Linked DNA regions of Caenorhabditis elegans. The protein of the gene in region 2 purifies or fractionates together with the protein of the main gene of each other region. This does not show direct contact. Each region holds a gene or a part of one and is shown on either strand. Other genes may lie near its edges.

The links.
Region 1: the proteins of gcsh-2 (region 2) and gsnl-1 fractionate together in Caenorhabditis elegans (co-fractionation; one large-scale study listed by BioGRID). This does not show direct contact.

Annotation. Positions count from the first base shown.
Region 1 is NC_003283.11:9,495,370-9,500,076, reverse strand, and holds gsnl-1 (Gelsolin-like protein 1), read right to left. Parts: upstream 3,036-4,707; 5' UTR 2,973-3,035; coding exon 2,898-2,972; intron 2,573-2,897; coding exon 2,498-2,572; intron 2,452-2,497; coding exon 2,350-2,451; intron 2,307-2,349; coding exon 2,109-2,306; intron 2,051-2,108; coding exon 1,737-2,050; intron 1,665-1,736; coding exon 1,583-1,664; intron 1,536-1,582; coding exon 1,419-1,535; intron 1,373-1,418; coding exon 1,247-1,372; intron 1,205-1,246; coding exon 911-1,204; intron 849-910; coding exon 804-848; 3' UTR 701-803; downstream 1-700. UniProt on the Caenorhabditis elegans protein: Calcium-regulated, actin-modulating protein that binds to the plus (or barbed) ends of actin monomers or filaments, preventing monomer exchange (end-blocking or capping).
Region 2 is NC_003279.8:7,345,345-7,348,859, forward strand, and holds gcsh-2 (Glycine cleavage system H protein), read right to left. Parts: upstream 1,380-3,515; 5' UTR 1,378-1,379; coding exon 1,317-1,377; intron 1,155-1,316; coding exon 1,075-1,154; intron 1,029-1,074; coding exon 729-1,028; 3' UTR 594-728; downstream 1-593. Other genes in the region: glb-18 (Globin domain-containing protein), read left to right, coding at 164-340; kbrl-1 (NF-kappa-B inhibitor-interacting Ras-like protein), read left to right, coding at 2,020-2,185, 2,717-2,823, 3,085-3,163.

The DNA.
Region 1 (4,707 bases), on a different chromosome or scaffold from region 2:
CAAAAATGTTTAACTTATTTGTAATTTACTTTCGCTAATTTTTCAATTTTTATTTATTTGAAATAATATTAGAATCAGAACAATTCTTTTTCCCAAGAGTTAGTGAAGGAGAGGATTGTCTGAAAGGCTGAATCACGGTATAGGACGATAAAAATAAAATTAAAAAAGTTAAATCAAGAAAACACAATGACATATTTGCATGAAATTGAGAATAATTCTTCTATAGGGAACAATGCGTTCAGAGATTTTTCACGTTCTCCCCCTCAGCCTTGTATTGCAAATGCCCGACACTTTTCCGATTTTCATATTGTTCCGTCTCGGGAAAATATTCACGCTTCGCACGTTTCGATTTCTCTGTATATAGCTTCCTTCTTAATTCTTTCAGCAGTTTATTTTTCTTCGTCCAACATATGTTTGTGTAAATGTTCACAAGACATATCAGATTCAGATTGAAATCAGTGTAGCCATGGAGACCCAGCAGTGTGTTCTGAACAGTTCTTTCACAGGATTTCAAGGTCGATGATGTAGAAAAGGAAGAGTGGAAGCTCTGAATGAAAACGATACATAAAAATGACACGTTTTCACTTTTTCTCAGAAGAAAACGACGAAATACGATGGTTGTGGGGCAGACCGAGGAGCTGATAAAGATCTATTAGCTACGATCTTCTGATGTACCCCTTCACTTATTTTGTAAAAAGTTATGATCAGGCAGTGTTTATTATTTCAATGAGTCATTTTAAATTACATTAGAAATGTAGAAACATTATAAGATACAATGAAAAATTAAAATTAAAAAAGTTTAATTAGTGGAAGAGAAGGCGACGCATGTTCTGCACGGATCGAACTTCCTGAAATACAATATGTTAGCTCATGATATTTTTTGTTTTCATAAGAGTATTTAATTACTTACATTCTTGAACAAATTATCGTCCCAGGATGGGAAGAATTTCTTGAAAGTTGGTGGTTCTTTTCCTTGGAAGATCGTGTCAATAGCTGTTTTCTTGTGACGTGGCAACTTATCTTTTTCCAAGTACAACTTTGCAGTGTTTAATGCTTCTTTCTTCTCATTTGCATTAGCATTTGCTCCAACCCAAACGTAGATGGAATTCAAAGCATCCAAGATCATGACATCATCTCCATCAAGATCTTCTTGAGTGAAGTTTGCAATTTCCTCAACATGAAGAAGACCGCTTTCATCGGAAACCTGAAACTTCAATCTGAAAATTGCTCATTGCATCAAACCAACTTGGAAAAGGAGTGGAGTGAATGTGTTCTTCTTTTTCTCATCAACCCAATCACGGAACCATTGGGTGAATTGAGTAGATTCAGCTGATTCGAGAACTCTAGTAACTTGTGTCCAGCGGGGAAGATGCTGAAATGTGAAAGGAATTATTTTCGAAATAAAATAATTATCATACATGCTGTTTCAAATAGTTCTGCCCCCAAATAAGAGCCTTCGATCTTTCTTCAAGAGTACATTCATGTCCAATCCAGACGAAGATTCCACCATTAATTGCATCAAGAATGAAGGCATCCTGAATTAAAATAAAATTGTTTCAATTAAACTGATTCGGCAACTCACCTTGGGATCAAGTTGCTCTTTTCGAATATTTTCGCCTTGAGAAACCATGCTAACTTTAGCAGCACCAGATGCGTCGGAAACTCTGAAATAAATCAATTTTCAATAGGTTAAATAAATTCCCTTAAATTCCAGTCAAATTTCAAAATTGTCTTACTTCCAAAGTGTAATTTGCTCCGTAAGTCTTTTCCAGTAGTTATCATCGTCATCTTTTCCCTTTGACACCTTCCTAACGGACGAAACCCCACCAAAATAACTCCAGAATGTTGAATCATTATCCCATTCAACATCATCAAGAATATGAACTTTCGGGATTCCCATTCTTTCATGATCAGCAATATTCTTGGCACGAGCCATTCCCTTGATTCTTTCAAGTCTTCCACTCTCTGGTGGCATCCAAACATAAAGATCCTTTCCCAGATCCAAAATGAATACATCTCCCAAATTAAGAGAATTCACTTCACATTCCACCTAGAATTGTATTCTGTGTGCTTTCAATGTCTCTTATCTTCTATTTATTTTTCCTTACCTCCGTGCATCTCACATTTCGTTTTCCCTTACAATGGAACAAATGAGGTTTCCAGTTTTTGAACTGATCGTCTACATGACGGTATCCAGATTCATAACCACCAGATACATAACGAATTCCGTCAGGGAAATAGGACAAGAAGAGAGGAGATTCGTAGTTTTGAATTTCACGATGTTGGGTTGGAATTCCACCGAGAGACTGAAACAATCAAATTTTAAAACTTTCTAGAAGCATTTCTTACATCGTCAATCTCTACAGTCTTGATTGCTGCAACTCCAATTTCATCAGTCGATGCATTCTTTCCAAGCCAGAAATGAACATCCCAACATCCATCGTACTTTTGCTGTAACCATCTCTTTTCATATATTCTGTTCTATAGGAAAACATACGTAGAGTGCAATGTAGGCGTCTCCAATGTAAAACACACCATGATCAACCTCGGGGACCGGCTCCAACACAAATTTCTGAAATTGCGAAACATTGGAACTGATAGATACGTGGGGAGGATAAAGAAGATATTGGGGAATATTTTTGACACAAACAACTTGATATGACACATTTCAAAGTTCAAGGGTTTAAACGTAGGATGAGTAAGATATTAGTTTGTTGATGACAGTGCAAGATTTTAAAACTATAGACCACTTCCAATGACAACTAATTTTGAACACACAACATTTGTAATATATTTCAGAATATTTCACTTAAAATATTAGGAAATAATTGTGACTGTACCGTAGTTCAGACTAGATTTGACACTGTAAATGTTACTCCATTGACTACAAAACGTACATTAATTCTCCAAACAAGAAGCCCGTTCTTCTTTCCAATCTCGGCCAATGCTGGATCCAAGGATGTTCCTCCCATTGTAGTTTAGAACTTTTTTGTTGACCACCAGAATCAACAAGCAATGAAATGAGCAGAGAAAACGACCCTTCCGCATCCTATGGACCCGTCAGAAAGTGTAAAAAACGTGTGTTGTCTGTGTCTCTAATAATTCAATTGCTCTCTCACCAATTACTTTGAGCATTTTACAATGTGAATGGGCGGGAGACTGACGATTAACTTTCTTGTTTGTCTGTTTTGGATTTAGATTGTTCAGATCATTAAATGAAGCTGTGCAATCCAAAGGTTCACATGAACATAGAGCGATCAAAGTTTGAGAAGATTTGAATTTATTATGAAGTTTGACCATGAGCAAACCAGAATAACCATTGAAAATGTTTAAGTCACCAGAACATCCAGCTTTTCTTCAATCAATGCTTGAATGTCACACTTTGTTTTTAATTTAGAGAAAACCGCATCAAATTCCGTCAATCCACATCACTCCAACCCACCAATTCCCAACCCACCGCCATGCACACCAACAATAGTTCACGTGTAAACAAAAATCCTTCACATAACTCCACGCAGAACCAACCACCTCGAGTCTCTATTATGCAGCCCGCTAAGAACGTCCCAAAAAACTGAGCGTGTATTCTAAAGGTTTTTTATTCTCAAAATTAAATTGTTCCCCAATCCCAGGCCTCAAATTAAATGTACTATGTGCCAATATAAGATCTGTTAATGCTAATCGATTAGAACTAATGGGGGAATTGACCACAAATGAACATGACTTAGTCTGCTTGCAAGAAACATGGCTTACAAGTAAAACGCAAAACTCTATTTTCAATAATAAAAACTACCAGGTTTACCGTGCAGATCGTCCAGATGAACAAAGGGGCGGCGGAGTATGTACTCTAGTAAAAAATAGTATAAGCTGTAGTGTGGTTCTTGCAGAATCGAAACGCAAAGCTTTCGAAATATTGGTCTTAGATGTCAACGTCAATGTCACTCCACTACGCATAGTAAACATATATAGGCCTCCAACCGCATCTTTTCATGATACTGTGACTTTGTTGAATAAGCTCGAAGACATAACCGATCACCCGGGTCAAATTGTTATACTAGGAGATTTGAATGTTAGCAGTATTAATTGGAGTGGGCAAGATCCACAATCTGATACCCGATTAGGCACAATGTTAATAGAATTCTGCAAAACCCAAAAATTGAAACAGTTCGTAACCAACCCCACCAGAGCATCTAACATCCTTGATTTGGTCTTTTCTAACCTCAATGTTTCAAAAATAAAAATTTTTTCACCACTAGGAAACAGTGACCATCGTAGACTCCAGTTTAGTATTGATCTCCTACAGAAGCAACACACCGCCAGCAAGGAAGTTTATGATTTCAAAAATATTGATTGGAACAAATGTGTTCAGTGCATTGACAATATAAACTGGAATCAACTCTTTAGTGCTCACAATTCAGTGAATGACATGTTTGATCAGTTTTTAGCAGAAATGCAAAGCACTTTTGAACTCTCAATCCCGAAAAGAACTGTTAAAGCAGATGAGATATTCCTTCCACCGTACCTCAATGCACTGAGAGATTTTGTTGAAATTACTTATAGAAACGCTTTAAATTCAAGGGACACAAAAGACTTTCTGATTTATGTGGCCGCAGCTAAACGGTATAGGAAAAAATTACTGAAATATCGTAGAAATGTTGAGCTTAAGAACCTAGAACAAAGAGGGAATTCTAAATTCACACACGACGTAAA
Region 2 (3,515 bases):
AAGATCTGCCGAAAATTATCATCTGCAGACGCCTACGTAATATAGATTTGAAAATAATTGATCGGAATAGTTGTTTCTAAATTTTGAATATCTTTCACAAATTTTTGACTATGAAATTCTGGTTTTTATGAATCGTTGAAATTTTATAAATTTTATTATTCAGGACGCTATGGAATTTGCATTAGAACACCGTCTCTCCATTATGACCGATTTAGACGATAATCAAAAAAGAGACGCAGTGACGGTGTGGAGGACATTGGCACTATATACAACTGTACACATGCGAAATGGGTTCATTGATGGTCTGAAAGGTGTCAATCGTTTTCCGCCTTTAGTGTAATGTTTTCAATTGTTCGCATAATCTTATCCGTAATTGCCTCCAATCTCTGTGATCGTTTTCTCTTCAATTTGATTCAACTTTAATAATAATATTTGCTTTAATTCTTTCGTTGTTTAGAGTTTTTCAATTTGAATTTACAATGGCGTGATGAAATCCAGCTAAACAGGGATTTTAATTTTTAATTCACAAAACTATTTGCCATTCACATTTTAACCTCATTTTTTGTAAATATTTGCATTAAAATATTTTCCAATTTCTAAACAATTGTTTAATTAACAATAAAAAATAAATATCAAAAGAAATACATTATACTCTGACCTAAACGAATTCAATATGAATACCAGTACCAGAATGTTATAACTATAATACAGAGATTAAAGGTGTTTGTTTAGTGGGCAGCTTCTTCGTCCTTCTTGAACTTTGCATACTGTTCCTCGTTAAGAAGTTTTTCCAGCTCGTCTGCTGACTTAACTTTCAATTTGTACAACCATCCCTTTTCGAATGGACTCTTGTTGATCAGACCGGCTTCTTCCTCCAATTTCACATTTTTCTGGGTTACAGTTCCAGAGATTGGTGCATAAATGTCAGAAGCGGCTTTCACACTCTCAACAGCTCCAGTTGAGTCTCCTTTTGAAATTTCAGTTCCCTCATCCGGCAGCTCAATGAAGACGACATCTCCGAGTTGTTCCTGGAAACTAAAAATATGCAAATTGAACATATTGAAAAATACTAACCGTTGCAAAGTCCGTAATTCCAACGGTTCCAACACCGTTCTCTACGAGCACCCATTCATGTTTCTTCGTGTATAGACGACCTAAAATCAAAAAATTCGATGTTATACTTTTTTTCCGAATTTAAATTAATAAAATACTTTGAAAATTAAATTTTTTTAGTATTTCTTACTGCTTGATCTTGAACAATCTTTGATTTGGCAAAAATTAGATGATTTTCAGAAAATGAAAGAAAAAATACGTACCAGATGAGGCCAATCTGACAGCGGAACGAAGAGATGGAACAGCACGACAAAGTTGGTTCATACCTGAAAACAAAAATAGTTGTATGGAAAATGTCAAAGAAAAAAGAAGAATTTTAGAGTAGTGAAAAAGAAAAGTATCGGGTCGGACGAATGCGTTATCAGTAGTAGATAAAGGCAATATAAACTGCAAAATAAAGACAAATAGGATAGATGGAAAGATAGAGAAGTTTAGTAGGTATGAGATGATCAGAGGGCAATGATTGTCTTGGAGTTTTTTTTGAAAATTTAATGTGTTTATGTGATTTAATAAACAAAACTTAAATATGAACAAAAGGATCATATTTGTAAAGATGTTGGAAGGAAGATTATAAAATTGAACACTCGTATTAAATTCAGAGGCGTTAGATTCGAAGAGAGTGAAAATATATTTTCATGACCTTCATGGAAATGTTTTCATTTTTGAGACAATGTTTCGTTTCCAAAACAATTTTGTTTCACTTATTCTCACTCTATGTTAATTAACCTTTATTCTCTTCAGAATTTCTTTTCAGGATTTTGAGGGTAGCCCATTCAATAAAGTTCCTAACAATATATTTAGACTTTTTTTTCAAAAACCCACAACTTACTCACTTTATAAATCTTTCAAGAAGCCAGTTTGAAATGACTTTTCCGTGATCGGTTTAGAGCTTTTTTTTGCTCAAAAATGCTCAAATTGAAAAACAAACACGTAAAAACCGGTAAATGTGCAAACACGCCGACGAGATTTCACAGAAGATGCATACGAGTTGGCGACAATTTAACCAATAAGCGAGTTCGATTCTTTGGTTCCGCGTCCAATTCTTGTGAGTTTCTATATTATCTATTTAAAGGTAAATCATTTTATTTACTTGAATCAAAACCAAATTATCTATGAATTGCATTAATTCCTCGGAATTCGTAGTTTTCCCACCTGAAAAATTCAATTTCCCAGAATAAATATTTCTTCTGAATATCAAATTGCAATAAACTCTCGTTTTCAAAAGAGCAGCCACAGGTGCTTTATTGCGTCTCCACCCCGTCTATTGTGCTATTATTTTCATCCACCCATTCAAAACATTTTATCAATGCTGTAAAGCAAAAAGCACACAAACATTCGGACGATCGTCGTCTAGTCATCGTGTTTCCACCTGTAATTAATATTAAACTATTCCTAATTTCCGTTTAAAACATACATATTCATCTGGAAAATGAGTGGTGGTAAGGGGAGCTTTCGGCATAAATTCAATGAAAAACTAAAGTTATCCGATCAAAATAGAATAGAAATCCACTAATCCCTTTTATCCGAGGCGATTAAATTTGAAACAAAAACGTTTCGAAGCAAAAAAAAAAATATTTTCGAAATCATCATAAAATGTTTTCAGAGAATTGGATCCGTCCGAGTTCTCGGAAGTTTTCACTCGGAGTAACTCCGCGAGCACTTTCACGAATCGACGCCACATCGACTCCATCTCTAGACGTCCCTCAAAAGGTGAGAACATAGGAATATGAGTCAGCAGAAAGAATATTATATTGAATCCTGGTCCTTTTGTAAATAAATATCGGCTATAAAGAGGATGGGAATCAAGTTTTTGGAAAAAAAAGAAACATTTTCCTTATTTCTTGTAAAATCAATCCCCTCCGCGATTGTCTAAAATGCATCGAAATTTGCACAAAAAGGTGATTTTCAATATAAAGACAAAAATTATAGTATTTCAATTTTGGAATCGTTGAAATTTAATTAAATTTGCAGGCCACAAATCGTCGATTCTCGTTAGCCGCGACCTTCTTTGACGCCGCCAAAGCAGATAGAAAAACTTCACTTTGTGTTGGTAGGTTATTAGAATTTCGCCCAGTTTTATTTCAAAAACTAAAAAGACAAAAGTGCAAGATAAAATCTAAAAATTAAGAGAAAACTTCATTACAGTGAGAACCACTAACTGAAAAAAGACAGATTTTTCTATCCAAAAAAAAATGAGAAAGTCTCTTAATTTTCCCCATTTGCCACTTTATGACCTAAACAGTGCCACGTCATCGTCTAAATCAAACAGCGTCCTCTGTGCTTAACTCTTATCACTTTTTTATGGCATGTGCACTCCTCCCTCTATGCACCACTTAGTTTCAAGCATTTTTCTTACCATATTATCATTCTTTTCCCTAGCTATTCTTATTGTTTTTGGATCA